Canis lupus familiaris: one gene and its partners. The protein of the gene in region 1 interacts with the protein of each later gene in a pairwise test. Links are inferred from orthologs where the notes say so. Each region holds a gene or a part of one and is shown in the gene's direction. Other genes may lie near its edges.

Region 1 (4,711 bases):
TAAGCAAGACAGAGAAGTCAGCAAAGGGAGCAATCATCAATCAGTGTCAGGGGGATGCCTTAGGGGTCTAGCCAGCTAGAGTAGAAAGCTCTCAGAATGTCTAAGAAGGAATGGTGGGGTTGATGGAGGAGGGGGAGGCTTGGTGAGGGAATGACTGCTCAGCGTGTGACCCTGTTGGCCACAGGCAACTGTGCACAGGCCATTGAAGGGTTTGCCAAAGAAGTATGGGCAAGTGGCTGCCTGCAGGCTTCACAGGACTCTGGTTTCTGGGTTAAGAGGGCTGTAGGAAGGTTATTGCCAAATTTGGGCTGTAAGGTCACAGAGGAACTGGGTTTGAACCTGTGGCTGGGGCAGACCCCACAGGATGTACTCAGGATCACACTCCCAACTCTTGTACTGCTCTAGAAACTGCAAGGAGCTTCTTCCTCCAGCATACTTTACTCAGAAGGCTTAACTTGGTGCCCGCTTTGAAGGAGAAATGCTCAAAGTAATTGCTATTTATCACAGAGCCTATGTCGAAGTGTGTTCAGAGCTGAGAGGCAATGCCTTGATAACTGACACAACGACATATGCTCAAAGTGTTTAGGATTTACATATGGGCTTTCGAACTCCTGACATTGGGAAAGCCTGACTGCAGATAGCCTATGAACAGACTAAGAATTTAAGTTTTTATCATGGGAAGTACCCTGATGAGTTATGCATGCTCATTACTAGTCTAAGACAATTCAGAAGGCTATTAAGTATAAAGTGAGAGTCCTTCATATCATTCATTCATCAAAGATAAATACCGTTTTAATAATTTGGGGTCTTTCCTTCCAGGCTGCTGGCAAATAAAAATATGATTAACACGAAATGAATGCCATGAGGACTCCTTTTAAACTTTTAAAAACTTTACCAAGAATCACTATATTTTTCTGGGTCAACGTACACAATTCTAATAAAAACTTGTCACAGCGCGGTGAGCTTCGGGGTGGCTGGCCCCGGACGTATTTGGAATTCGGTCCCCCCTGCCCCTGCGCTCCCGCGGCCTCTAGGAAAAAACTGCTAAAGCTCCGTTTTTTACATACAAGGTTCTCTCATTTGGCGTCTCTTCTGGTTCCTCCACGGCTGTTGGCAACCCCAGACCCGGGCTGGAAGAGGGCCTCCGACGCCTCCGGGAGATCCCCGAAGCGCCATTTAGGGTTGGGCGGTTGACCAACCCCACGCTCTGCCCCCACTCCTCCGAGCGACCTGCGGGTGACCTCTGCCCTCTCCACGCTGACCTCAGTCTCGCGGGGCACGCCCGGCCCCGCCCCAGCCGCCCAGCTCCGCCCCAGGCCCCGCCCCCAGGAATTACGTCATCCTCCTCGCCCCAGGCCCCGCCCACTGGAGACCCACGCCGTTCGCCGCCCTGGATCCGCCCACTTGGCCCGGCCTCCACGCTCCCGGAACCCGCTCGGCGCTTCCCTCCAGGCCCCGCCCACCGGAACCGCCGGAGCCCGCGCGGCCCCCGGCTCCGTCCACCCGGAACTGGCACCGCCCTCCCTGGCGGCGCGCGCCCGGAAGCTGCGTCGCTCGCTCCACCCAGGCTCCGCCCGCCGGGTCCCTGGCTCCACCGCCCGGGAGGGAACTGCACCCCCGCCTCAGGCTCCGCCCGGGAGGCCCGCGCCGCGCGCCGAACGCCGGCTCCTCCCCCGAAGCCTGCCCGCGGGGCTGGTGCAGTCGCTTCGCCTCAGGCCGTGCCCGGGCCCCAGCCAGCCCGCCATGGAGGGGGATGTCCCCGCCGCCGCCGCCGCCCGCTACCAGCCGGCCAGCCCCCCGCGGGACGCCTGCGTCTACAACAGCTGCTACTGGTGAGGGGGCGCGGGCGCAGCCCCCGGCATCCCGGCTCCCGCGGTCTCGGCGTCGCGGCCGGGCCCCGCCTCTTCCCGGCCCCTCCCTGGGGGCGCTCTGGGTCTCGTCCGGCGAGGTTCCCGCGTGGGGGCTGAGGGAGCGGGAATGGCAGCCCTCGGCCCTTGAGAGGAGCGCAGGCACGGGGCGGGGGCGGATTCCCAGGGGGTGGGCTCGGTGGTGCATTACTAATGCCCGAAGCCTTTCGCTTGGACTTTTGTCGGCAGATCTCAGTGCCTGGGGGCCAGGAAAGGGGAGTTGGAGGCGGAGGGTGGAGCGCAGAGAACCGTTGCGGATTATCCTGCTGAAGCCTTTGTGGTTTCCCCACTGATGTGAAAGGTCATTTTAATTTTAGGAAGAGAATGGGAGAGCGGAGATTTTGCAGTAACTTTCCAAGGTCATCGGCTAATAGCAGCCAGGAATCCAATTCAGGCCTTCTTGTACCAGAAACCATGAGCTTAACCACCATGTTGTCCTGATCGTGCCCATTGTATTTACATAGCACTTGCTGTATGCCACTTGTTTGTTTGTTTTTTTTAAGATCTTATTTATTCGGGGGGGGGGGCAGGCTCCCTGCGGGCCCGATGTGGGACTCGATGGATGGATCCCAGAACTCCCGGCAACAACCACTGAGCCACCCAGGTGCCCCCCCAAACACTTTTTTTTTTTTAATTTTTTAAAAAATTTTATTTATTTATGATAGTCACAGAGAGAGAGAGAGGCAGAGACACAGGCAGAGGGAGAAGCAGGCTCCATGCACCGGGACCCCGACGTGGGACTCAATCCCGGGTCTCCAGGATCCGCCCCGGGCCAAAGGCAGGCGCCAAACCGCTGCGCCACCCAGGGATCCCTTTTTTTTTTTTTTTTTAAAGATTTATTTATTTATTCATGATAGACATAGAGAGAGAGGCAGAGACATAGGCAGAGGGAGAAGCAGGCTCCATGCAGGGAGCCCGACGTGGGGCTTGATCCCGGAACTTCGGGATCGCGCCCTGGGCCAAAGGCAGGCACTAAACCGCTGAGCCACCCAGGGATCCCCCCAAACACTGTTTTGATTGGCTTATGTAAACCAATTCATTTGAGCGGGGGTAGGTGTTATTGTTACCCCCGTTTTAAAGATGAGAACATCGAAGCACAGAGGGTGCAACTAATTTGCATAAGGCCATCCTGTCTAGTAAGTGAAGAAATGGGGATTTACCTGCAGGGTTTGGCTCTGGAGTCCACACACTATCCCCTTGGCCTAGGCCACCTGTGTGACCAAATCACCACTCCTACCTCTGTCTTTTTCGCTCGTACACTTGAGTAATTAATGACTTCTTCCCCAACTTTCAGTTGCAAAAGAAACCTTAGGCCCATCTAAAACTACCTTTTCCTCCTTTAGCTGGCGGTCAAACCATGTCACCAATTTACATCTGTTCCGCTCTGACTGCATGTCAGGGCTAGTGTCAAGTGTTTCCATCCATGGCTCCGAGATAGGTTCTGTCATTTACCTCATTTTATTAACGAAAAGAATGAGCCACAGACAAGCCATGTCCAAGGTCACACGTGTAGCAAGAGGCAGGGCTGAAATTGGAACTGTAGTACAGGAGTCCATGATTCTTAAAGACTGTACTTTAGTACTGCCTTACCTCTCACCTAAATCCTATTAGTTTTTGTCCCTAGCACCCATTCATTATTTTACTTGTTCATCTGATGTTTATTAGGCATGTGGACTGTGTGATATTACAATTGTGGGCACTTGGGAGACAGCAGAAAATAGATTCCCTAGTTAAGATCTTATGGTTCTTAATATTTTGGTTCAGGGAAAGCAGGCAAAACCACGTAAAACCATGTTTGGTGTTAAGTGCTATGAAAAAATAAAGGTAAGGGATGGTGACTCACTTTTATAATGGATATTTAGGGAAGGCGTTGTTGGTAAAGTGGTATTTGAGCAGAGATCTGAAGAAAAAAAAACCGGTGGGAGCTTTGTGGATATTGGAGGAAAATCATCCCAGGCAGGGGAGCAGTGGTGCAAAGGCTCTGAGAACGAAGTGTGCAGGAGTATTCTAGGAACAAGGTGGCTCGTACAGCGAGAGTGCAGTGGTCTGCTGGAAGAATGGTCGGAATGGATATCTCTTCAATAGATGGCCTCCCTTAATTAAGTTCCTTCAGCTGTGGGCTGAGCCCTCCTCGGCTGTCAGGGGCCTGTTCCAGCCCTTCCTTATAGGACTCTGCCCAGATCTGTTTCCTATTCCCTCAGGTCCTAAACCTTAACTGGCTTCACACTGCTAAAAGTCGTTCTAAATTCAAATGAGCCATAGAATCACTTGGGAGCTTGTAAAGTGTGCAGATCTTAGGGTTCTACTCCAGAGAGTCTTGGTGTGTAAACAGTACAGTGGAGGAGTCTTACACTCGTCCATTGATCACGTTTTCAGGAATATAGGCATAAACAGTAAAGTCTGTCTCCTGAGCATATTCAGAGATCTGGTCACTTGTGTTTCTGCAATCTTATTTTGAGCCTGCCTTCTATGCCCTAACCCAGGGTTTCTCACCCATGGCTTTATTGACATGTGGAACGTGCTAATGTTGTGGAGGGCTGTTCTGTGCATTGTAGGCTATGTAGCAGCATCCCTGGCCTCCACTCACTAGAAGCCTGTAGCACCCTGCCCCAATTTGTGACGAGCAAAAACGTCACCAGATAGTGCCAAATGTTCCCTGGGGGGCAAAATTGCCTCAGTTAAGAACCACTGTTCTATCTTGTCTTAATCTATCAGATAGTGTACCTTATTATGTTTGCTCCTGCAGGTTTTTATAACTTGGAATAAGTGCCTCCTCTCTGTGTCTTTTAGCTTCTGTCAGATGT
Region 2 (4,596 bases), on another chromosome or scaffold:
GAGAGGCCGAGACCCAGGCAGAGGGAGAAGCAGGCTCCATGCAGGGAGCCCGACGTGGGACTCGATCCAGGGTCTCCAGGATCACACCCTGGGCTCAAGGTAGCACTAAACTTCTGAGCCACCCTTTCCTGACCTTGCCCGTGTAGCACCCTTGTAGCTTTCCAAGGCCAACACATTTTCTTGAGGTACCATGGACAGGCCATACATTTCCACATCTTTACACCTTTGCGTGTGCTGTTCTCTCCACTTGGAATTCTCTTCCACTCTACCTTCCTTCTAGCTTTTTCTTCAGACTTAGCTCAACTGTCACTTTCCTAGGGAAGCCTTCCCTGGCCTTCTATCCCAGACTGGATAAGGCACTCCTCGTCTACACTCTCCCACAGGCTTCTGCTTATTTTATTTTATTTTATTTTTGTAGTTTTAGACCTAAAAAAAATTTTTTTTTCCTGAAGGTAAAATGTTCATTCCGAAACGAAAACAGTAGAGACCCAAGAAAGAGATCACCAGAATTCCGTCAGCAACGAATTTTAACATTTTAGAGCCTGCCTTCTTTTTGTTGAGGTTGCGAAGTTCAGCTTAAGGTTTCATGTTTGTGAGCGTCCAAAGGGCCTCGGCGAGGTCTCCCAGCCGTGCGGAAGGACCTGGTGGCGAACAGTGGAGCTGGAAGCCGGCCGACAGGGCGGGCGCCTGGAAGGAAGGGACTCGGCGGCCCTGCCCTGCCCTGCCCGGTCCCGTGGACACTGTGCCCACCGGCCGCTCCGCAGGGGCAGCCCCAGGAGGTGGCTCCCCGGGAGATCTCCTCAGCTTGAGCCGGCTGTGGCCTGACCCGGGTGCGCCAAGGCAGCCGTTCCAAGATGGCTCCGTCTCCAGATCCCCAGTGGCTTCTCCTCCCTTTTCTAACCCGTCCCCGGATCTTCTCAGAAGCCCCGGGGGCTCGTCCCTCACGGCTCCCCCTCGAAGGCGCCCGCTCACCGCATCTCCCCGGGAACCACGGCCCGCCCAGCCTCTGTCGGGGAAGCTGCACCGGGAGCCATGTTGGCGAGGGTCGGGGACGGCCCCCGGGACCCCAGCCCGTCCGCGTGTCGCTCCCGGCCGGACCCTGAGGAAGGGAGAGCGAGCCCCTCCCGCCCCACCTCTAACTGACGCAACCTCCTAGGGCTCCCACTGCCACTTTCCAGGTGACGCCCGAGGAGATCCCCCCGGGTGTGGTAACTGCTGCCCCGCCGCCCGGACTTTTAACCTGCCCCCGGGGCAGGATGTCTCGGGGAGCCCGCCCGGACGGCTCAGGGGACACGTGCCGGCGGCTCCCAGCCCCGGGCGCCGGGGCTCCGCGCCCGACCCCGACCGCACTTCTTCCCCGCCCCCCCCCATCGCGGGAGCCGGGACGCCGAGGACACCCGCCCCGCCCCGCCCCGCGCGCGGCCACACGCCCGCCGCCTCAGCCCGCGCGGGGCCGCCCCTCCCCCACCGCCCCCAGGGCGGGGTCGCGCGCCCGCCGGAAGAGGCGGGGCTCCGCGCGCGGGCGGGCGTCTTGATTGGCTGGAGTGGGCGTGACGCCCGATCCCGCTATAAGAGCGGGGCCTCGGCGGTCTGCGCCAGTCTCCGCCGAGAGTCGCCGCGGCTTCCTGCTTCAACAGTGCTTGGACGGAACCCGGCGCTCGTCTCCCCTCCCCGGGCCCGCCGCTCAGAGCCAGCCCTCGGCCACCTCCACGCAGCGCTCTCGGACCGCCCCGAGGCCTCCGCCGCCGCCGCCCCAGCGCCGCGCAGCCGCCGCCGCCGCCGCCTCTCCTCAGCCTCCGCCATGACGACCGCGTCCCCCTCGCAGGTGCGCCAGAACTACCACCAGGACTCCGAGGCCGCCATCAACCGCCAGATCAACCTGGAGCTCTACGCGTCTTACGTCTACTTGTCCATGGTGAGCGCCGCTCGGCTCCGGGCTCCGGGCGGCGGGGCGGGGCGGGGGTGTGGCTGACGCTTGGGCCCTCCCGCCCCTGCTCGCCCTGCTGGAAAATGGACGCTGCTCGAGGCCTCTCAGGACGTGCGCAGAAACTCTGGCCGGCTCGGCCTTTCTGACGGCCCCCTGGGAGGGCTCCCTCTTAGTCAAGGGCCGCCTCTGCGCGCCGCTTCGTATTTAGAGAGAGCCTGGTTTCAAGGAATCCCCGACTTGCGGCAGCTGCAACCGGCACAATCCTGCAGTTAGGAAAGCGGGGTGTGCGTTTCCATCCTGTTCTCCGTGTCGATCACGTGGCCCCGAGGCTGTCCTTTTGCTTGGGTGACGGGGGCGAAGTGGTCCAGCCCCCGTCCTCCCTGCGACTGGCGGAGCCTGCTGGGTAATGGTGTCGAATAGCAACCGTTGGGGGCGGGGGTTGGTGCTCAGTGGCTTATCTCCCGGGGGCCGACCACTCTGGAGCAGCCATCGCTACCCGCTCTGTTCTGCTTATCGCCCAGTCCCACTTGAAGCAGGGAAATCTCCCCTTTTGCGCACACGGTTGTCTTAGTCATCCGTCCTCTTGCCCGGGCATTTAGTACTTTATCCTTTTGTGGCTGAACCCTTGGTTTTAGAATAAACTACACCAACAGTCACTGGGCAAGGAAACTTTCCGTGCTGATCGATGGAATCCATTTTCCAAAATCCTGGTTTTAGGCGGTGTGGTGGGCGTTTTCCTTAGGATTGCAAAAGAAAAAAAAAAAGAAAAAGGATTGCCTTACGATTGTGCAAATTATCTAAGAATAGACCTGTTCCAGATGAATTTGAAAATAGGCCTGGATTTCCGCGACTGCCATTCCATTTCAGGAACACCTGGATTCAGCGAGTGTCTAAAAACGGAATCAAGTTTTCTGTTTTCTGCTGGCAGTTTCTTTGTACAGCTTAGCGTTGCCAGCAGTTGTCACCTTGCCTAATGGGTTAATCTTAGAGATCCGTCAGTATGCTGTAAGCTGGCAAGCTCATGTTTTAACATGGGTTTAATCAGGGAGTTAGGGAGTACAGGGTAAATACTCCCACACCCTCTCCAATCAAATGCGACACTGGCCAGAAGAAGTTTGCTCTCATATAGGGCTTTAAGAATTTATCTGCTGGGGGCAATTCCCTATGATATTCTAAAGGTTCCTTGCAGTAAACTTTAAATGTCCAGGACTGCGTTTCATTTTTGTGTTTTAGAGTACAGACTAGTGTTGTGTTCTGTCCAAGAGCACAGCCTGTCCGCGGTCTTCAGTGCAGACTCCTTTCTTGCTGGACTTTGAGGAAGAAAGGCTAGGCTTGGCAATTCCTAACAGAACATGTTCGTGTTCTCTTTTCAGTCTTATTACTTTGATCGCGATGATGTGGCTTTGAAGAACTTTGCCAAATATTTTCTCCACCAATCTCATGAGGAGAGGGAACATGCTGAGAAACTGATGAAGCTGCAGAACCAACGAGGTGGTCGAATCTTCCTTCAGGATATTAAGGTGAACAAAACATCTTAGATCCTGTGTCTCATCTATCCGGCAAGTCCTTGGGTGTCAGAAATCCCTCAAGCTAGCAGTTGCTCTTATAAAATGAAGTACTTTTGGCTTCTGTGTTTTTTTAAGCCTATCTTCTAAGTTGAAGGAGGTGAACGGTAATGGGCACAAGGCTGTTAAGTTGGAAACCATTGTGGGAGAAACTGGGATGTCCCTCTTGCCAAAGCACAACGATTGCATGTTAGGTGTTTGCTGACTTGGGCAATAATAGGTAGAGGCTGTACGTGCATTGACCTGACCTCCTCTCCTCTCGTTCAGAAACCAGACCGTGACGATTGGGAGAATGGGCTGAATGCAATGGAGTGTGCATTACACTTGGAAAAGAGCGTGAATCAGTCACTACTGGAACTGCACAAACTGGCCACTGATAAAAATGACCCCCACGTGAGTGTTGGCAGTCTGGGAGAGAATGGAGGGAGTCATTTCCCTCTTTAGGGGTTGGGAAAGTGTACCGTTAACATTCTTCCCCATTCTGTCTTCTAGTTGTGTGACTTCATTGAGACTCATTACCTGAACGAGCAGGTGAAATCCATCAAAGAATTGGGTGACCATGTAACCAACCTGCGCAAGATGGGGGCTCCCGAATCTGGCATGGCAGAGTATCTCTTTGACAAGCACACCCTGGGAAACAGTGATAATGAGAGCTAAGCCTTAGGCTGTCTTCCCATAGCCGCAGGGTGACTTCCCTGGTCACCGAGGCAGTGCATGCATGTTGGGGTTACCTTTACCTTTTCTATAAGTTGTACCGAAACATCTACTTCTTTCGTTTGTATCATTCCTTCAAATAAAGTAATTTGGTACCCAGCTGTTGTTTCTTGAGTTCTTGGGATGGGCTAGAAATGTATTTAGTAGGTCATCTTTGTGAAATCTGCTGAGGTGTTGTAGTTCAGTCACAGTAACCAAAATGACATGCCTAGGGAGGGATTTGTGTTTTATTAAAGTCCTTAGTTAGGAAATGATAATTGAGGCTGGGTGTGCTGAATTCAGACAGGACTTAAGGACTCCTGATTCTGAATTGAAGGTTTTGAATTACATGTTTCCAGTGGTTGATTCCAGCTTTTTACAATTTTTATGTACAAAAAGTATCTTAAGGGC
Region 3 (4,276 bases), on another chromosome or scaffold:
CACACAAAAATATGAACACGGCACGCTTCCAACGTGTTAGTTTGAGGGGATGTATGGAGGGTGCAGAATGCAATCAGGTGGGACAGGGAAGCTGCGGTGCTAAAGACCGTATTTTCCTACCCAGCGGAAGACCAGTGACGGAGGCATTTGCAGCCTTAACTCCACTCCAGAATTATATTATCTTTTAAACAAGGTGCTTTGTTAAAAAAAAAAAAAAAAATTTTTTTTAAGGGCACCTGGGTGGCTCAGTGTTTGACCTCCTGCCTTTGGCTCAGGTCAGGATCCTGGGGTCCTGGGATAGAGCCCCGCATGGGGCTCCCTGCAGGGAACCTGCTTCTCCCTCCGCCTCTGTCTCTGCCCACCCCTCATGAATAAATAAAATCTTTTTTAAAAAATGAAATAAAGGGCAGCCCGGGTGGCTCAGCGGTTTGGCGCCTGCCTTCGGCCCAGGGTGTGCTCCTCGAGTGCCAGGATTGAGTCCCGCGTCGGGCTCCCTGCGTGGAGCCTGCTTCTCCCTCTGCCTGTGTCACTGCCTCTCTTTCTGTGTCTCTCACGAATAAATAAAATCTTTTTTAAGAAATGAAATAAAAACTGGAAAATGTGAAAAAGGAAATGCGCCACCAAAGAGAGCAGTGTCCGGAGCGTCAGGCCAGCGCCTCTGCAACCGCCCCACCCCGCCCCCAGCCCCAACCCCGGGAGCGCGCGGAGCGGGCGGGAGTCCGGGCCGCCGTTGCCATGGCTACGCTCGGGGGCGGGGCGCGGAGGAAGCGGCTCCGCAGCCGGCCCCGCCCCGCACTGCGGCAGTAACGCCTCCGCGGGCTGCGGTGGGACCCCGGCGGCCCCGCTGCGCCACACCGCCGCAGCCCGCCGCAGCCTGCGCGCCGCCGCCGCCTGTGGCCCCGCTTCCCCGTCCTTCGGCGCCTCCGCCGCCCGTGTGCTCGGTCCTCAGCCGCCCTCACCGCCCGGAGCCATCCCTGCGTCTGCAAAGAAGCCGCTGGCGGGCTGGCGTGGCAGCCACCGCCGCGACCTCAGAACAGGCTCTGCCTCCGGGGACCGCACAGCCCTCGTCTGCAGAGCAGCCGCTCCTCGGCCGACTGGAGGCCGGGCTCCGGCCGCGGACGCCGGGATCGCCTCCGAGGGGAGCCCCGAGTGCCGGCGCCCGGCTGCCGGGAGGAGGCGGCCACGCCCCGCGACCACACCCGGGCGCCTCCGGCCCCGCGGCGCAGCCCTCGCCAGCCGCGCTCGCTGCCCGCCTCCTGCGCTGCGACGGGACGCGACCCCCGGCTGCAGGTGGGGGACCCGGGCCGCGGGCCCCGACTGAGGACGCCGGTGGCGGCGGACGCGTGAGGCGACTGCCCGAGCCTCCCGGGGCTTGGCTCCGGGGACCAGCCGGCGGACTGCCTTTGGGGGCCGCGAAGGAAGAGGGCAGGACTCTGGTGTCGTTTGTTAATTGTGATTGCGTCAAGCTTGCCTCCCTCGCGCCTACGGGGGTGGGGGGGTGTCTGCTGCCGCGCTGAGCCCTAGAGCGCAGGGAGCCACAGCCTAATCCGTCTTTGTAGAATCGGGGCCCTCGCTAGTTGGGGAAATGGCGATGACGCTGTTGGAAGACTGGTGCCGGGGGATGGATGTGAACTCCCAGAGAGCCCTGCTGGTCTGGGGGATCCCAGTGAACTGTGATGAGGCTGAAATCGAGGAGACCCTCCAGGCTGCGATGCCCCAGGTGCCCTATCGAGTGCTTGGGAGGATGTTTTGGAGGGAAGAGAATGCGAAAGCAGCCTTGTTAGAGCTCACTGGCGCTGTCGATTACGCCGCGATCCCCAGGGAGATGCCGGGTAAAGGAGGTGTCTGGAAAGTGGTCTTTAAACCCCCGACTTCCGATGCTGAATTTTTAGAAAGGTTGCACCTCTTCCTAGCGAGAGAGGGGTGGACCGTGCAAGATGTTGCCCGCGTCCTTGGGTTTCAGAACCCCACTCCGGCCCCGGGTCCAGATATGCCAGCAGAGATGCTAAACTATATTTTAGATAACGTTATTCAGCCTCTTGTTGAGTCCATATGGTACAAGAAGTTGACGCTGTTCTCGGGGAGGGACATCCCGGGGCCTGGGGAGGAGACCTTTGATCCCTGGCTGGAACACACTAATGAGGTCATAGAGGAGTGGCAGGTGTCTGATGTAGAAAAGAGGCGGCGGTTGATGGAGAGTCTTCGGGGCCCCGCCGCTGATGTCATCCGCATCCTCAAGACGAACAACCCTGCGATAACCACTGCCGAATGCCTGAAGGCGCTTGAGCAGGTGTTTGGGAGCGTCGAGAGCTCTAGGGATGCGCAGGTCAGATTTCTGAACACTTACCAGAACCCGGGAGAAAAGTTATCTGCGTATGTCATTCGTCTGGAGCCTCTTCTGCAGAAGGTGGTGGAGAAGGGGGCCATAGATAAAGATAACGTGAACCAGGCCCGCCTGGAGCAGGTCATTGCCGGGGCCAACCACAGCGGGGCCATCCGGAGGCAGCTGTGGCTGACCGGGGCCGCGGAAGGGCCTGCCCCTAACCTCTTCCAGTTGCTGGTGCAGATCCGCGAGGAGGAGGCCAAGGAGGAGGAGGAGGAGGCGGAGGCCGCCCTCCTGCAGTTAGGCTTGGAGGGGCACTTCTGAGGCCCAGGAAACGGCGACAGTGCACATCTAGATCGCAGCCGCTTACCTTGTCTCCGTGCTCTTACAGATGTGTCCCTAGTGGTAAAGACTTCCGCCATGTGCTGTTTTGGGGGTGGGGGTAGGGAGTCAGGCCTGAGTATTCATGTAACATTAGTACAATCGCGCAAATGAGCACCCTGAGCTGCTACAAGTGAGTCGTACTCGCTGCAATGCCAGGTAAAGACTTGTACACAAGTGCTCAGTGCCAGCTGTCATTGTGGCAATCATCCGTTGTAAAAACCATGTGAATCCCTGACACTTCTCATTGAGATAATTGTGAAATTGCATGTTCAGATGTTTTAGCGTGGGGCCTGGCAAACACAGGAAGTGTTCGGTAAAAATATGAGCCGTTGTTACTAATATTGTGAATAGTTTTTGTGTTTACAGTAAATTGTTCCTAAGTTTTTTCCCTAATTTATATTAATGGAAAGAAATGTGACTCATACTATTTATTCAGCCTTACAAAGCAAATTGTTTTATTTTTCATCTCGAAACATCTGGATCACTTTAATTGAAAAGTATTCTGAGACTATGGAATGGGATGTTAGAAAAATACTGCAATTCTAGAATTGTGTGAATCAATTTTTCTGTGTACAAGACACAGGGAGTGTCTTGTTGCATGGGGAGATTAATAAGAACCAGTTACAGTATCTATTCCCCCATTTCAAATCCTTGTCATTGAATGGTAGTTCTTGTTCATGCTGATTCTAAGTGTTCTAAATTTGAAGTTGTCAAAATACATGTATATGAATAAAAGTATTTAAAAAATTCTATTGTCTTTTTTTTCTGACACATATATAAAATTTCAGTGTAATTAAGCTCTATATTTATTCTCTTAGGAAGATTTCCTGGTGTCACTTAAAAAAAATATAACTTCAGTTACTGTATCTTTAACCTTATAGCATACTATTTGAGTTTGAATTACAGAACCTTTCAATGTATTCAATTTTTGCATGTTTTCTACAAGGCAAATATTAGAAGGCTGAACAGACCTAAGTCAATATTAACTTACTATAAAAAGTTAGGAAATCCTGAAATGGGGCTCAGGATGTTATCTAGTAATGCTTTTTCTCCCCTTTCAAATCCCTTTTCAGGGATCCCTGGGTGGCGCAGCGGTTTGGCGCCTGCCTTTGGCCCAGGGCGGGATCCTGGAGACCCGGGATCGAATCCCACGTCGGGCTCCTGGTGCATGGAGCCTGCTTCTCCCTCTGCCTGTGTCTCTGCCTCTCTCTATCTCTCTCTCTGTGACTATCATAAAAAAAATAAAAACCTGGATTATTTTTTAAAAAATCCCTTTTCAGCTAAAAATGTTTGTTTTACTACAGGAATAATTTCTCATACCTGTTTAAAATGAATGTTTCTGATTTATAGCAGCCATTTTATTTTTTTTTTGTCAAAATTCATTTTTATTAATAGAAAATACTTATTCCAGTTTCAGTTGTTATACTTGAAGTTGCTAATAAAAAAAAAAGAATTTAAAATAATCATCCTGTTTCGACTAAGACAATGAAGCTGTAGCTTAAAAAAAATTCACGATTTTGGGATCCCTGGGTGGCGCAGCGGTTTCGCGCCTGCCTTTGGTCCAGGGCG
Region 4 (4,649 bases), on another chromosome or scaffold:
CAGCCCCTATCTAGGAGGCGCTGGGGCCTGGCGCGGTCCGCGGAGCTCGGGGCGCAGGAGCGCGGGGGCGGGGGGGTGGGGGGTGGGCGAGCTCCGCCTGCAGGGGGCCGGGGGCGCGCCCAGGTGCAGCGGGGAGGGAGGGGGGTGGTGGTGGGAGGAGGAGGGCTCCGCCACGCGCCTAGGAAGAAAGCCTGACTCATGTCGTGTCGTGGCGGTGGCGGCGGGCTCCTGGGAACTGCAACTCGTGATGCTGTTGCTGCGGAGAAAAGCCTCATTACCCATTCCGCGGGCGGGCAAGGGCGGGGGGGGGGGCGGACACCCACCCCCTCCCCGGGGCGCGCACTCCCGGGCCCCGCCCCGCCCCCTCCCCCTCCCCTGCCGCGCGCCCGCCCGCGCCCGCTCCCGCGCCCGCGCACGCGCACCGGCCGCGAGCGAGAACAGAGCGGACACACCTAACCTGCGCGCGCGCGCCCCGCGCCCCGCCCCCACTCGGGCCGAGCCGCGCAGCCCGACCCGGATCCGCTCCCCCGCCCGAAGCGCCCCTCCCCTCCCTTCCCCTCCCCTCCCCTCTCTCCGCGGCCTCGGCGCCTCCGCCAGCCTTCGGCAATTTCCGGCGCTCGGCGAGGCCCGAGGCCCCGCCGCCGCCTCCTCCGCCGGACCCGGCTTTCTGTCTGCGGCGCCGGGGCGCATGCGCAGACGCCATCTTCCTCCGTCTCCTTCGCCTGCCCCCTCCCCCTCCCCCCTGCCGCCGCCGCCGCCTCCTCCTCCTCTCGCCGGCGGTCGCCCCTCCTCCTCCTCGTCCTCCTCCTCCTCCTGCGCTCGGGCGCTGGTCCCTCCTCTCCCGCTGCCGCGAGAGACTGGGGGACGCGGCGGAGCCGGAGGAGAGCACTAGTAACAACCACCACGGCCCCCTCCCCGCCCGCCCGCCCTCCGCACCCACCCACTCGCCGACACCGGCCAACCCCACCTCCCGTTCCTTTGAACGGCGTCGGCTGCAGTCGCTTGCACCAGCCCGTCTGGCCCCCAGCGCCGCCGAGGAAGGAGCCGCCCGCGAGGACGAGGACGAGGACGGGGACGAGGACGAGGAGCCGAGCGGCTCGCAGCCCGCCGCCGCCCCCCGGGGAGGCCCGGGCGCCGGCCCCTTCCTCCCCGAGGACGCGTGCCGAGCCGAGGCGCCTGCCCCGAGGGAGGAAAATGCTCGGGCTCCATGGCTGCCAGTGATGGAGCGGTCCCTGCGCTCCCGCCGCCGCCGCCGCCGCGCCCCGGCCGTGCTCCGCGAGGACCCGGCGTCCCTGCGCGCCCGCCCGCGCCCCGTTGCTGGGCTCACCGTACCGGGCGCCCCGCCGCCCCGCTCCGAGCCTCGCCGCCCCGGCCCCGGCCGCGGCCAGCGTCTGCTCACGGAACAGCCGCCGCGAGCCCAGGGGGTTTGAAAGGGTCCGCGGGGCGCGGGCGGGGAGGGCCGAGCGGGGCCGGCGGGGCCGGGAGGGGACAGGCTTGAGCGACCCTGAGCTCGGGGCTCGGGGCTCGGGGGCGGCGAGGGGACGGCGGCCCCCGCTCCGCGCCGCCTCGGCCGGTGCACGGCGCCCGGGAGGCTCTTGCAGCGGCCGCCGCCGCAGGGGCTGCGGTGCCCCCGAGTCGGCCGGAGAAGGTGGGCATTTCTCGGCTTCCCCACCTCCTCCTCCCCCTCGTCTCCCCCCCACCCCACCCCACCCCACCCCACCCCCACCCTCCCCTGCCCCCTCCCTCCTGCCCCGCACCCCACGTGAAGGCGGACTAGAGAGGGGGGTGTGAGACTAGAGGGGAAAGTGAATGGCGGAGGACTGAAGGGGTCCCCCCCGCTCCCCCACCTCTCGGGCCGCCCCGTTCACCCTCGTTCATCCTCCCTTCCCGAAGCTCGCCCTCGAAGGCAGGAGCGGCCGGCGCCTTCTGCTGAGGAGGAGGAGGAGGAGGAGGAGGAGGAGGACCCGGACCCGCGCCGGGCGGAGCGTCAGGTCCCGTTTTCTTCCCCGGCGTCTCGAATACAAAGATTACGGTGCAGAAGAAGGAAATTGCACTCGCCTCCTCCGCCCCCCCGGCCCCCGACACAATGCACCAGCCGCCCGAGTCCACCGCCGCGGCGGCCGCGGCCGCTGCAGACATTAGCGCTAGGAAGATGGCGCACCCGGCGATGTTCCCTCGAAGGGGCAGCGGCGGCGGCGGCGGCGGCGGCGGCGGCGGCGCCTCTGCGCTCAGCGCGGCAGGTACCGGCGTCGGTAGTAGTGTCACATCTTCCGAGGATTTTCCGCCTCCGTCGCTGCTCCAGCCGCCTCCCCCCGCCGCATCCTCCACGTCGGGGCCGCAGCCTCCGCCTCCACAAAGCCTGAACCTCCTCTCGCAGGCTCAGCTGCAGGCACAGCCCCTCGCGCCGGGCGGGACTCAGATGAAAAAGAAAAGTGGCTTCCAGATAACCAGCGTCACCCCGGCTCAGATCTCCGCCAGCATCAGCTCCAACAACAGCATCGCCGAGGACACGGAGAGCTACGACGACCTGGACGAGTCCCACACGGAGGATCTGTCTTCCTCCGAGATCCTCGATGTGTCACTTTCCAGGGCGACCGACTTGGGGGAGCCTGAGCGCAGCTCCTCAGAAGAGACTCTGAATAACTTCCAGGAAGCCGAGACACCTGGGGCAGTGTCTCCCAACCAGCCCCACCTCCCGCAGCCTCATCTGCCCCACCTTCCCCCCCAGAACGTTGTGATCAATGGGAACGCTCATCCTCACCACCTCCATCACCACCATCACATTCATCACGGGCACCACCTCCACCACGGGCACCACCATCCATCCCATGCCGGCGTGGCCAGTCCACCCATTCCCGGAGGGCCACCCTCCAGCCCGGGATCCAGAAAACTCTCTGCCCCTGGAAGCGCCGACAGCGTTGCACCAGCTGCACCGACTTCTGCTGTATCATCGGGAGGCTCACCTGCATCCGTAATGACTAATATCCGAGCTCCAAGTACTACCGGCAGTATAGGTATAAGTTCTGTTACTGGCGCTACTACGGTGAATAATGTTAACATCACTGCTGTGGGTACTTTTAATCCTAGCGTGACAAGCAGCATGCTTAGTAATGCCAGTATAAATGCGAGCAATATCCCTAGTGCTGCTAGTGCGAGTGTCGGGCCTGGAGTTAGCAGCGGTGTGAATGTGAATATCTTGAGTGGCATGGGCAATGGTTCTATTTCTTCCTCCGCTGTTGTTAACAGCGCCCCTAATGCAGCTGCAGGGATGACTGTGGGATCAGTTTCCAGTCAGCAGCAGCCACCGACAGTTAACACGTCGAGGTTCAGAGTTGTGAAGTTAGATTCTAGTTCTGAACCTTTTAAGAAAGGTAGATGGACTTGCACCGAGTTCTATGAGAAAGAAAACGCCGCACCTGCTGCAGAAGGTGTGGCGATGAATAAAGTGGTGGAAACTGTAAAACAAAACCCAGAAGTGACTTCTGAGAGGGAGAGCACTAGTGGGAGTTCAGTGAGCAGTAGTGTCAGCACACTGAGTCACTACACAGAGAGTGTGGGAAGTGGAGAGATGGGAGCCCCTACTGTGGTGGTGCAGCAGCAGCAGCAGCAGCAGCCAACTCTTCAAGGTATGGCTCTTCAACAGATGGATTTCAGTAGCTCTGGTCCTCAGAGTATTTCAGCAGTCAGTATACCACAGAGTATTTCTCAGTCACAGATCACACAAGTACAGTTGCAGTCGCAAGAACTGAGCTATCAAAAGCCAGGTCTTCAGCCTGTCCCTCTGCAAGCCACTCTCAGTACCGCGACGGGTATCCAGCCATCACCTGTGAATGTGGTTGGTGTAACTTCAGCTTTAGGTCAGCAGCCTTCCATTTCCAGTTTGGCTCAACCCCAACTGCCATATTCTCAGCCGGCTCCTCCAGTGCAAGCTCCCCTTCCAGGGGCACCACCCCAACAGTTACAGTATGGACAACAGCAACCGACTGTATCTGCACAGATGGTCCCAGGCCATGGTAAACCGGTGACTCAGAATCCTACTTCAGAGTATGTGCAGCAGCAGCCGCCGCCGCCGATGCTCCAAACAGCGGTGTCCTCGGGACAGCCCAGTGCTGCGAGCGTGGGAGCAGGATCGACCGTGATTCCTACGGCCCAGCCACAGAGCATCCAGCTGCCAGTGCAGCCCACCGCAATCCAAGCACAACCTGCAGGGGCCTCTGGCCAGCCTGTTGGCCAGGCTCAGACGGCAGGATCTGTGGTACCTACTGGCGGTCAAATCGCAAATATTGGTCAACAGGCAAACATAGCTACTGCGGTGCAGCAGCCCTCTACCCAAGTCACACCTTCAGTTATTCAGCAAGGTGCTCCTCCGTCTTCACAGATAGTTTCACCTGCTCAAACCGCGATTATTCATCAGGGAGTTCAAACTAGTGCTTCGAGCCTTCCTCAACAATTGGTCCTTGCACCCCAAAGTACCTTGTTAACTGTGCCTCCCCAGCCGCAAGGAGTAGAATCAGTAGCTCAAGTTTCGCAGCAGTTGCCTGCAGTTAGTCCTTTGCCCTCTGCTAGTAGTATTTCTGTTACAAATCAGGTTAGTTCAGCTGGTCCTTCTGGAATGCCTTCTGCCCCAACAAACTTGGTTCCACCACAGA
Region 5 (3,618 bases), on another chromosome or scaffold:
TGGCTGGATCCCAGTGAGGGGAGCCCCACCCCTGAGCCCCATCTGAGCCTTGGCTAGGGGTGGGGCAGATAAGCAGGAACCCACCCTCACAGGCACAGGGCCAACACCTCAGGTGAAACTCCTGGCTGAATGAGAACAGCATCCCAGCAAATAGGGACAGAAGGTTGGCAAGAGAGAAGTCTCCCATCTCTGAGTCCTCTACCAGGGGCCAGAGGAGGGGGGGGCCATAATCAAAGGGAAGGGACAGGGAAATTTCTGAGAGGCAGACTGGGGGAGGCAGCACTCACCTGGTACTGCTACCCTATAAAACAAAATGGTATGTGTCACCGCCACCTTCTTTATCTTGGTCCTGTCTCTCTCTCCAGGTGCTAGCGTCCCCCTTGGGGAACCAAATTGGGCTGAGCACCCAAGTGGCCTGCTTCCCAGCCTTTGACAGAAGGCAGGCTGAGTCAGGCAGGAGAGCTGGGCCCCCACCCTGTGTGAGCCCCACTGATACATGATGGCAGGCGGCTTGGAGGGGGTAGGTGACCTGGCGTGGAGAGCCAGAGGGTAGGTCCTCAAACAAGTGGTAACAGGCCACCAACTTGAAAGGGAAAATTGTGCTGTGATGGGGAAGGTGTCCAACAAACCTACTGGATGACTAATTACAAAGGCTGGGCTGGAGCGTCAGGGGCCGCTCATTAAATACCTCATTAAGTGGCACCCTGAACGATGCCACCTGTGCATTCTGGGACCTCAGAGGGAACCCTGAGGGGGGGTGATGACCAAGGGAGAGAACCATTTCAGGTAGACTCCGGAAGAAGCCTGGATTTCACTTCTAAATACAGTCTGGAGCTTACAAGTCAGAGGCCTTGACGAGAGAAGCCAAAGGAAGTAGGATACAGGGGATTTATTAGCTGTGTGACCTTGAGCAAATCTCATCCCTCTCTGAGCCTTAGCATTCCCACCTCTAAAGTGGGAGTAAAAGTCATAGTCTGGCCCATCTCACAGAGACATAGTAAGGATTCAATCCAATCGTGGCTGTGAAGGTGCTTGGGAAACTACAGCCCTACCTAAACATAATTATCTCACCCAAACCAAGGTGGAAAATGTACCTGGTAGGATTAAGAACCCCATCCTCCTGGGTGCACCTGTCTTCATGCGCTCTAGCCAGGCTGAAGCGGCCACTTGGTTGAAGCCATCCCTGGCCCCTGGAAGAACACCATGAAGGAGGATCTGATTTGAGAAACTGGGGCATCTGGGTGGGCACTCATGGAATCAAAGCACCGAACAAGAGGGGGCAGCCTGGAGCTTGGAAAGGTGTCCTGTGCAGGTGGGGCCGACGCCCGGCGGAGTTCTCCCGCAGACTGAGCCCCGATGACTCACCCTACATCCCAGCCTTTTACCTTTAAGGAAGAGCCGGAAAGGGTGTGGGGAGAAGACCAGAGGGAGGCAGGTCCCGGGCCCCAGCCCCGCCCTCGGTCCCTCCCCACCCCTCTCTGGGGCCAGACCTTCCAGCCAAAAGGCAGGCAGAGAGCAGGAGAGGCACAGAATCCGGCATCGGTTTCAAGGCAGCCAGTTAGCCCGCCGCCTGTCTGTCACCAGAGCCATGGAGAGAGCCAGTCTGATCCAGAAGGCCAAGTTGGCAGAACAGGCTGAGCGCTACGAGGACATGGCAGCCTTCATGAAGAGCGCCGTGGAAAAGGGTGAGGAGCTGTCCTGCGAAGAGCGAAACCTGCTCTCGGTGGCCTACAAGAACGTGGTGGGGGGCCAGAGGGCTGCCTGGAGGGTCCTGTCCAGTATCGAGCAGAAAGGCAATGAGGAGAGCTCGGAAGAGAAGGGCCCGGAGGTGCGAGAGTACCGGGAGAAGGTGGAGACCGAGCTCCGGGGCGTGTGTGACACGGTGCTGGGCCTGCTGGACAGCCACCTCATCAAGGAGGCCGGGGATGCCGAAAGTCGAGTCTTCTACCTGAAGATGAAGGGCGACTACTACCGCTACCTGGCCGAGGTGGCCACTGGTGACGACAAGAAGCGCATCATTGACTCAGCCCGGTCCGCCTACCAGGAGGCCATGGACATCAGCAAGAAGGAGATGCCACCCACCAACCCCATCCGCCTGGGCCTGGCCCTGAACTTTTCTGTCTTCCACTACGAGATCGCCAACAGCCCCGAGGAGGCCATCTCACTGGCCAAGACCACCTTCGACGAGGCCATGGCTGACCTGCACACCCTCAGCGAGGACTCCTACAAAGACAGCACCCTCATCATGCAGCTGCTGAGAGACAACCTGACGCTGTGGACCGCCGACAACGCCGGGGAAGAGGGGGGCGAGGCTCCCGAGGAACCCCAGAGCTGAGCCGCCCACCGCGCCCTCCCCGCCGCGCCCTGCCCTCTCCAGCACCCCGCCCGCCCGTGGCAGAGAGGACTAGTGTGGGGTGCGAGGCCCGACCCTCCTACCCCAATGCTCTGCCTCCTGCTCACGAGAGCTCCGAGGAGAGGAAGCAGCAGAGCTGAGGCCGGCTAGGGCCGGGGGACTCGCTCTTCCTGCCGCTGTCGGGGCCCGCCCACCCCTGCTCTCCGCACCCCTCCCCGAAACCCCACCGCCAACCGGGCCACTTCCTCCCCCTCCTGCCTCCCTCCTGCCCCCCGTTGCCTCTGAATCTTAGGAATTGAGGAGTGTCCCACCCTTGTGGCTGAGAGCTGGACTGTATGGCAGAGCCTGGAGATGAGTGTGTGTGTGTGAAAGAGCGAGAGCGAGTGAGAGCACGAGTGAGAGCGCGCAAGACCCGGATGAAAGGGAAAGCATGTCTGCTGGGTGTGACCCTGTTTCCTCTCAATAAAGCTCCCCTGTGACACTCCTCCTGTCTCTTCCAGTTATTGGCGAAGCGATGGGACAAGGACTGGCTTATGATTTAGAGACCTTGACTTCTGATTTAGGGCCTTGACCTCTCACGGGGCTGGCTCAGGGACCCACAGGCAAGACTCTGGAGCCAGTGACCCCAGGTGAGAGGCTGGGGGGCAGGAGGTCCAGCTCTCCATCAGGGTGGCCCCCAGCAAGCTGGTCTGGTCCCGGACGGTCGGGGGAGCGCAAAGGCGGCCCTAAGGCTGCTCTAGGGCTGCAGGGCGGGGGGCTGAAGAGTCCAGATCTGAGGGGACAGGAAAGCCTCTCAGGTGTGAGGTCCGAGCGACAAGGACAGGTTGTAGTGAGCCGCAGCGAGCACCCCGGCCTTGAAAGCGAGTTAGAGGCCCATCCAGTGCTCAGATCTGAGAGGAGGGGAGCACAATCTGGGTAGAGGCTTGCGCCGCCATTAAAAGCCCGTATCTGAGAGGGGATGCCCCCGCCCCCAGCGCTCCGACTCGGGGACGGAAAGAAAGGGTCCGGCGAGGAGGAGCCGCGGGCGGGGTGGGCAGGGCCGCGGGGGGCGGAGGCCCGCCCAGGCCGGGCCAGATCAACGCCTCCGCCCCCTCCCGCGGCCCCGACACGCCGGGACCCGCGGCCAGCTGGCCGGCTCCCACCTCCACGGCCCGGGGGCGGGGGCGGGGCGGGGGCGGGCCCGAGGCCGATGCCGCCCAATCCCGGGACGGAGCTGCTCGGGGTTCCGCCCCCCGGGCCCGGCGGGCCAATGGGGCAGAGCGCGG
Region 6 (3,951 bases), on another chromosome or scaffold:
GTCTCCTCTGTGAAATGGGTTTTTAGCAAGGCTAGTACTGCTGTCTCCTTCCCTTCCGTGGTGTGGCGGTGTTTCTCTAGTTGTCACTTGAGGAATTGAGTGACTGGGGAGGGGAGGGCAGAGCTGCTGAAATGTCCTGCAATGCAAGGGATAGTTCCCTGCCAGGCAGAGTCCCCCCACCAGCGTGCCAGGAGCAGCCCCTTCCAGAAGCGCTGGGTCTTTTTCAGCTTTACTTTTCTGTTTCTGAGGTTGCACTGTGTCATTTATGCCTTTGAAAGACTTTAGGTAAGGAGAGGTGAGACCTTACCAAAAGGATGCGAAATAGGTTTGTGTTCACTCCTCAGTGTGTTGCACAGAGAGTGCTTAGGAAGGTGGTGAGAAGAGTGGGTCATGGGAAAGGTTCTCAGGAAGAGTGGAGCTCAGGACAGGTGTCAACAAACATCTGTAAAGGGCCACATAGTCAGGATTTTTGACTCCGTGGGCCACTTAGTCTATGTCACAACTACTCAACTCTGTCGTGACAGCTGAAGGCAGCATAATATAATATGTGAATGATGGGTGTGGCTGGGCCCCAGGAAAACTTAATTCCCCAGGAGTAAACAAAGGGAGCTTGCTGACACTTTGTTTAGCAGAGAGCCTCAGGGTTTTGGCAGTGGGAGGTAGATAGAGAAGGAAGGGTAGACTAGTTTTGGCAAACATCTGTTCCAGAAGGGCACCACACCCATAGCCAATGAGGGTAGGTGATGAACAGCCCTGGTGGCCAGAAAGGGGGTGAGGGCCGCACGGGAAGGGCCTTGGTGACGTGGTTGCAGTCATGATGCGAGGATTGAGTGTCCTAGTCCACCCCACATGGCATATATCTGAACCCAGTCACTTCCCTTTCACGGCTCCTAGTTGCAGGAAAGTCTTGCCCCACCCTGGCCTTCCAGGCAAGGTGTGTTCTCTCTTACCTCTTCTGGCTTCTCCCTCAAAACTTAGGTGCTTTGCCAGACACCATCGTTCACCATCTCTCCCGTCGTTTCTTCTGCCAGGAAAGCGTGTCTACCCTTTGACCACATGGTGAACCCCTGTTTCTCCAACCACACTGTGTGTGTTACATTGCCTCTGTGAAGGCTGTACCAGCTTCTCCCACTGCAGGCCATCCTGTCCTCACTACCTGTGGTTGCATGTGTCATGTGAACCGGGCTCTCCTGTGACTATATTCCTTATTTCTGGGGTAACTCACTTCTCAGCCATTGTGTCTAGTCGGTAAAGCCTGAGACCAGGAGTGAATGAACAGGATGCTTGTTTTAGCATGCCGGGACAAGATGATGAGGTCTCAGGGTAGGTAGTCAGGGACAGACATGAAGGGCTCTAGAAGGGAGCCTTCTGTCCTTCAGTACCCTCCCCTGTCATCTACGCAGAGCCTGACCCAGATGGAGAGGGAGAAGATTGTCTGGGAGTTTGAGCAGCTCTATCACTCCTTGAAGGAACATGAGTATCGCCTCCTGGCCCGCCTTGAGGAGCTAGACTTGGCCATCTACAACAGCATCAACGGTGCCATCACCCAGTTCTCCTGCAACATCTCCCACTTGAGTAGCCTGATTGCCCAGCTAGAAGAGAAGCAGCAGCAGCCCACCAGGGAGCTCCTGCAGGTAAGGCATGGAGGTGTGGAGTGTCCCACCAACGTGGCTCCTGCCAAAAAGTCTCCCTTCCCTCTTTGCTAGGCAGTATGGAGCACCTCCCCCTCCCCGCCCCGGTCAACTCTAGGAGTAACAAGCCCTAGCTCAGCTCTCTGGGCTTGTCAGAGAGAAAACATGCATAACAGAAGTTCCAGTTGACACAACTTGGATCGGTCAGTTGCATTGTCTCACGGGAAGGGCAAGAGGAAGACCTAATGCCTAGGCCTGTCCTGTACCCACACGTGGTCTGATCACACTCTTGACCTCTCTGGGCCTCAGTGACCTGATCTACTCCTGGTGTAATGGGAGGTTCAGCCTACATGCCATTTAAAGATTTGAGTAAAGATACTCAGTGAAATGTCCTGTAATTTTAACATATATGTGTACATTAGCACAGCCACAAAACTGAGCACTGGAGCAGGTGGTTGGCCCAAGCGGTCCCTGTGATTTAAGCTGGGTGTAGTTACAAAGCTGCATTGACCTAACCTGGCAAGGCCACAGGAAATGTGCTGTTGTTCATTGAGTGCATATGAATTGTCTTTTCTGGGTCCGGCAGTATTCTGGGCACTGGGATTAAGTGGTGAAAAGCTGTCCTGAAATGTATATTCTAATGTCAGAGTCAGGTACTAAAGAGAACAGCAGGGATCCCTAGGTGGCGCAGCGGTTTGGCGCCTGCCTTCGGCCTAGGGCGCGATCCTGGAGACCCGGGATCGAATCCCACGTCGGGCTCCCGGTGCATGGAGCCTGCTTCTCCCTCTGCCTGTGTCTCTGCCTCTCTCTCTCTCTCTGTGACTATCATAAATAAATAAAAAAAAAAAATAAAAAAAAAAAAAATAAAGAGAACAGTGGGTGTAATGGGTGTTCATAAATGCCATTAAAAGGGATGATGGCATAGGGCACAGGTCAGCAAACCACTCCACCACCTGTTTTTGTATGTCCTTCAGGCTAAGTGGTTTTTACAGTTTGGGAGGGGTTTTTTTTTGTTTGTTTTTTAATAGGAAGAGTGGAGGAAGAGGGGAAGAGAGAATTTTTTTTAAAGATGTTATTTATTCATTCATTCACTCACGAGAGTGAGAGAGAGAGGGAGAAGCAGGTGCATCGCAGGGAGCCCGATGCGGGACTCGATTGCCAGACTGGGATCACACCTTGAGCCGAAGGCTGAGGCTCAACTGCTGAGCCACCCAGGTGTCCTGGGAAGAGAGAACCTTAAGTAGGCTTTATACTCAGTGCAGAAACTATTGTGGGACTTAGTCTCATGACCCGGAGATCATGACCTGAGCCAAAATCAAGAGTCAGACACTTCACCAACTTAGCCACCCAAGGCCCCCTGGTTTTTACAGTTTTAAACGTTTGGAGAAAATCTGAAGATTTTATTTCATGGTATATGAAATTCTATAAAACTCAAACTTTGTTGTCTGCATTTTATTGGCACTTAGCCACTTGGATTCCTGTACATACTGTGTGCATTGTTACTTTCCCACTGCCACAGCAGAGCAGAGTTAAAAACCCAAAATATGTACTATTTGGCTTTTCAGAAAAAGTTTGTTGAGTCCTGCTTTAGACTAATAAGAAGGCCTAGCCTTGAGCCTTAATGACCACCAGTATTTAATTGCCAGGGAGGAAAGGAGGAGTTTGCAAAGTGAACACTTGATCAGAGAAGCAGAAAGTGACCAGGAAGGAGGAGTGGACAGCAGAGTCTCATGCAGTTAAGGGCTGACACGCATTTGGTTTAAAGCCACGGGCATTGCTAATGCCCTCAGAGAGAAGTGCCACAGTAAACACTTAACACTTCCCTAAGGAACCATCCTAGGGACAGTGGTGACTGGCAGGGTGTGTGACCACTGTAGGAATGGGTGTCTGGGTTAAGGGGTAAGACCATAAGGAGAGGTGGGGATTGTGGGACTTTGTGGGAAGGGATGCTTAAAGAAACAAACTAAACATATTGTCAGAGATCATGTGGGAGGAGAGTCTGTTGTAAGGATCTGGGTGAGGAAAGTCATTGAAGCTGTAAAATTAATGAACTTATCACTAATGTCTGTGTCAGAAAAGATGGAAGGGAAAGGGGACTAAGCACATGTATAGGATGTAGTTTTGGAAGATCTTTGGGAAGAGAGGAGGGTGGGGGGGAGGTGGGGATGCAGGCAGGTTGAGGTTTGGTAGCAAAAACATGGTAGCTTTTATTGTCTTGACGTGGGAGAGCAGGGTCATCTGTGGCCGCAGAACAGGAATCAGGAAAGTCACTCACTTTAAAGAATAAGGGGAAGTTTTGAAAATACTCTTTTAGAGTATG
Region 7 (3,320 bases), on another chromosome or scaffold:
CAAGCATGTATCAGGTGCTTCCTGTATACCAGGCGCTGTTCTAGAAGCTTCTCTGGTCTTCATCCACTTCCTTTTCTCAGCACCCCCACCCTGGGAGGTCAGTCCCTACAGATGCAGAGACAAGGCCCAGAGAGGTAGAGGGGTTTGCCTAGAGCCACACAGCAGCGAGGTGGCGGGCCTGAACCCTGAAGCCACCGCATGTAGCTGGGGTCTGCGCCCGCGGCTTTCTAGGTCTCTCTCTGCCCTCCCCCTTGGGGCGGGGGGGGTGCTTTGGGAGGTGCCCAGAGCCCGTCCCTGCGGCGGGGGCCTGAGAGAGGCCAGCGGCTCGCCATCTGTTACCCAACAGTGGACTCTTCCCCGCTGGTGAAATCAAGGCCAGGCCCCCTCGGATACCCCTCGGTGAGCTGGGCCCAGGGCCCCGCCAGCCCGCCCTCCGCCCTCTCCAGCCGCTGTGGCTTCTGGTCCTTCGTCCCCGGCTGGACAGTTTTCCCCAGTGGCTCCGACTGTGGCCTCTGAAGCCAGCTTTCCGGGGCTGTGTGACCTTGAGCGAGTTACTCAACCTCTCTGGGCATCCGTTGCATCATCTGTGAAATGAGGATGACGCTCGTATCACTGATCTCATCAAGCGTCTGGAGTGCAGAGAAGTTTCTCGGAGTCCCTGGCTGACCCGGCGTGTTTGCTGTTTGCTCGACTCTGCTTATCTGTGTTATTCCCCGTTACTCTCTCCGCCACCAGAGCCACAAGGCTGATTGCAGGATCCCCGGTTTACACTTAGAGAGCCTGAGGGCACACACGTCCCCTCCCCTCCCCGCGCCATCTTCACAGAGGGGGACACGGCCTTCTCCCTGCACAACAGGGGGCTCAGTCCACCCCCACCCCCCCATCTTGTTCTTTTCCAGCCTGAAGCTCGAATGTGACAAGCTGGCCAGCGAGAAGTCCGAGATGCAGCGTCATTATGTGATGGTAAGTAAGCTGGCCCTGGGCGGCGGGCAGGGCAGGGGGGCGCGGGGTGACCCTGGACCCTCCTCCACCCGCCCTGGCAGCTGCCTGCACCCGGCCACCTCCTTGGGATGGACGAGGATCGGGGTCCGCGCTCCATTCAGCCGGCCCCAGGGCCTGGCCCAGGCCGCCTCGCTGGCCTGGCCGCCCGCCCAGCCAGTGGCCCAGGTGCCAAACCACCGGGTTGCAGCCCGGGCCTGCCAGGTCCCCCGGCTGTCCTTGGCAGCAGAGGAGGCCGCTGCCGTGGAAGCCAAAGCCAGGAACTGACTGGGGGAGCGGCCGGATCCCTCCCTGCCCCCACAGGCCGGGCAGTTAACCCCTCCCTGCCTGAGCTTCAGCAGGAGGGGGGGGGCAGCCGCCGCGGGCAGGAAGCTGACATCCTGGGAGGGGGAGGGAAGGGGTGACACTACATTCTTTGCCTGACATTTGAGATCCTGCCTGGATCCATCCCCGCCAGGTGGCAGTCCCTACATCTAAAAGCCCCCCTCCTTGGCCCAGCCCAGAGCCCAGCTCTCCCAGGCTTGGCTGGGCACTGACCCTCCTGGCCCTGGAGGGATAGGGAGGGGGCGAGAGAGAGCTATGGGGGACTGGGGGATTCCCCAGGGGGGGCTCACTGCCCCAAGCGGGGGCACTGCAGCTCGGGTCTTGAAGAATGAGTAGGAGCTTGCTGGACAGAGAAGAAGAAACCACGGAAAGTCCTGGGGATGAACTTGGCTGCCCCTGCCCCACCCCCAGGGATGATGGGGAGCCATGAGGGGGTTTAGAGGAGGGGAGGAGGCAGGGTCAGATCTGGGGCGTGAGGGGGGTGCTGCTGACCCCAGAGCCAGACCCAGCAGGCTTTGTTTATCCTGGTTATTTATACCCAGGAAGGCCAACTTCCCTGGAGTCTGGGGCCACCCGCAGACAAGACACATAAAGATAAAAGATTAGGCGCCCTGGAATGTATGTGTGCTGGAGAGGGGGCTGGATAATTACTCCAGAAGCCAGGGGAGCCCGGCCAGGCTGGGGCCAGGCTGGGGCCAGGCTGGGGCCCTGACGCTTCCCCAGCTCCCCGCAAGTGGCCCCATGAGGGGCCAAGACCCTGCTCCCGCATGCGCGCCCCACCTGCCCTCGTCCTCCCACACTGTGCGTCCCATCCTTGGCCCACCCCATTTCTCTCTCTGTCTCCCCACCACGCAGTACTACGAGATGTCCTACGGCTTGAACATCGAGATGCACAAGCAGGTAGGCCACCACCCCAGGCAGGTGGGCCCGCCCCTTGGTGACCCCCAGGTCTACCCCCCTATCCTGTTACCTTCCACACCCCTCTCCCTGTTCTTTCTCCGGCCTCCCCCAAACTACCACCCCCACCCGGCTGACTCCTGTGGGAGGGGGTGACACGCCAGCACACTGAGAACCCCCAGACTGCCCCTCGCCCTCCGGCCCCCTGAGGTCGGCCAATATCAGGGATGTCCTAAGAACTGTGCTGTGGGCCACCCTCTCCCCCATGCTGGGTGGCATCTTCCCAGGGCCACCCAGTCCCCGAGCCTGGACTCCCGGTTGGCCCCAGAGCCCACCTTTGCCTCCGACTGGGTGCCCATAGGCTTGAGGTGCTGATGCGACCCGGGGCCCAGTTGGGCTCCTCTCAGCCGGAACCCCGCCAGCTACTGGGGCTGGTCTGCACCTGCCCCTGCCGCCTCCCCGCCGCCTCCCCTGCACTGAAGCCTCTGTGTGTTGCAGGCCGAGATCGTCAAGAGGCTGAATGGGATTTGTGCCCAGGTCCTACCCTACCTTTCCCAAGAGGTGAGTGGCACCCCCGGGGCTGAAGGGAGGAGGAGGTGGTTGGGCCATGAACTTGCCCGGGCCTCCCCCCACCCCGACCCCCGCCCACGGCCCTCTGGGGCAGCAGCTGCTGGGTGCCCAGGGCACACGCCTCCCCTCTCTGGACCTCCCAGACACAGAAGATCCGCAGATCGGAGGAACCCCAGGGGCACAGGGCAGTACAGGGAGGGGCCTCACCCTGCTGTGGAATTCCCAGCCTGAGTGAGTCATTTCGTGGGTGAAGACGTCAGATATGCCAAAGGCTGCACCAAGGATCTTTTTTTTCCCTTTCTTGCTTCTGCCTTTTTCCCTTCTGAGATCTGTGTGCCAGGCCCCTGGGGGCCGCCTCAGGCCAGAAACCAGGGGCCGCATGTTCGGGGAGGGCACTTGCACACACACGTGCACACAGAGGCAGGCGTGCACGGGCTCAACACAGATAGATGAGGCTCGCACGCGCACCTGCAGACACAGGTCTGCACGCACATGAACGCAGGGACGCGTGGACACGCACCCCGGGGAAC

What was found.
Region 2: the proteins of NTAQ1 (region 1) and ferritin heavy chain interact in a two-hybrid assay, tested with the Homo sapiens proteins (2 studies listed by BioGRID and IntAct). The two-hybrid records come from large-scale screens. The link is inferred for Canis lupus familiaris from reciprocal best matches to the Homo sapiens genes NTAQ1 and FTH1.
Region 3: the proteins of NTAQ1 (region 1) and PNMA1 interact in binary tests that used the Homo sapiens proteins (3 or more experiments, as listed by UniProt). The two-hybrid records come from large-scale screens. The link is inferred for Canis lupus familiaris from reciprocal best matches to the Homo sapiens genes NTAQ1 and PNMA1.
Region 4: the proteins of NTAQ1 (region 1) and TSC22D1 interact in binary tests that used the Homo sapiens proteins (3 or more experiments, as listed by UniProt). The two-hybrid records come from large-scale screens. The link is inferred for Canis lupus familiaris from reciprocal best matches to the Homo sapiens genes NTAQ1 and TSC22D1.
Region 5: the proteins of NTAQ1 (region 1) and SFN interact in binary tests that used the Homo sapiens proteins (3 or more experiments, as listed by UniProt). The two-hybrid records come from large-scale screens. The link is inferred for Canis lupus familiaris from reciprocal best matches to the Homo sapiens genes NTAQ1 and SFN.
Region 6: the proteins of NTAQ1 (region 1) and TRIM27 interact in binary tests that used the Homo sapiens proteins (3 or more experiments, as listed by UniProt). The two-hybrid records come from large-scale screens. The link is inferred for Canis lupus familiaris from reciprocal best matches to the Homo sapiens genes NTAQ1 and TRIM27.
Region 7: the proteins of NTAQ1 (region 1) and TLE5 interact in binary tests that used the Homo sapiens proteins (3 or more experiments, as listed by UniProt). The two-hybrid records come from large-scale screens. The link is inferred for Canis lupus familiaris from reciprocal best matches to the Homo sapiens genes NTAQ1 and TLE5.

Annotation. Positions count from the first base shown.
Region 1 is NC_049234.1:22,155,083-22,159,793, forward strand, and holds the start of NTAQ1 (protein N-terminal glutamine amidohydrolase), read left to right. Parts: upstream 1-1,651; 5' UTR 1,652-1,743; coding exon 1,744-1,832; intron 1,833-4,711. UniProt on the Homo sapiens protein: Mediates the side-chain deamidation of N-terminal glutamine residues to glutamate, an important step in N-end rule pathway of protein degradation.
Region 2 is NC_049239.1:55,066,711-55,071,306, forward strand, and holds ferritin heavy chain, read left to right. Parts: upstream 1-1,622; 5' UTR 1,623-1,801; coding exon 1,802-1,915; intron 1,916-3,300; coding exon 3,301-3,447; intron 3,448-3,759; coding exon 3,760-3,885; intron 3,886-3,984; coding exon 3,985-4,149; intron 4,150-4,150; 3' UTR 4,151-4,240; downstream 4,241-4,596. UniProt on the Homo sapiens protein: Stores iron in a soluble, non-toxic, readily available form. Important for iron homeostasis. Has ferroxidase activity. Iron is taken up in the ferrous form and deposited as ferric hydroxides after oxidation. Also plays a role in delivery of iron to cells.
Region 3 is NC_049229.1:47,276,116-47,280,391, reverse strand, and holds PNMA1 (paraneoplastic antigen Ma1), read left to right. Parts: upstream 1-1,331; 5' UTR 1,332-1,585; coding exon 1,586-2,647; 3' UTR 2,648-3,457; downstream 3,458-4,276.
Region 4 is NC_049243.1:6,343,344-6,347,992, forward strand, and holds the start of TSC22D1 (TSC22 domain family protein 1), read left to right. Parts: upstream 1-1,786; 5' UTR 1,787-2,086; coding exon 2,087-4,649. UniProt on the Homo sapiens protein: Transcriptional repressor. Acts on the C-type natriuretic peptide (CNP) promoter. Acts to promote CASP3-mediated apoptosis.
Region 5 is NC_049223.1:72,664,951-72,668,568, reverse strand, and holds SFN (14-3-3 protein sigma), read left to right. Parts: upstream 1-1,488; 5' UTR 1,489-1,588; coding exon 1,589-2,335; 3' UTR 2,336-2,837; downstream 2,838-3,618. UniProt on the Homo sapiens protein: Adapter protein implicated in the regulation of a large spectrum of both general and specialized signaling pathways. Binds to a large number of partners, usually by recognition of a phosphoserine or phosphothreonine motif.
Region 6 is NC_049256.1:27,401,652-27,405,602, reverse strand, and holds part of TRIM27 (zinc finger protein RFP), read left to right. Parts: intron 1-1,403; coding exon 1,404-1,634; intron 1,635-3,951. UniProt on the Homo sapiens protein: E3 ubiquitin-protein ligase that mediates ubiquitination of various substrates and thereby plays a role in diffent processes including proliferation, innate immunity, apoptosis, immune response or autophagy.
Region 7 is NC_049241.1:56,590,334-56,593,653, forward strand, and holds part of TLE5 (TLE family member 5), read left to right. Parts: intron 1-899; coding exon 900-963; intron 964-2,178; coding exon 2,179-2,223; intron 2,224-2,718; coding exon 2,719-2,781; intron 2,782-3,320. UniProt on the Homo sapiens protein: Transcriptional corepressor. Acts as a dominant repressor towards other family members. Inhibits NF-kappa-B-regulated gene expression. May be required for the initiation and maintenance of the differentiated state.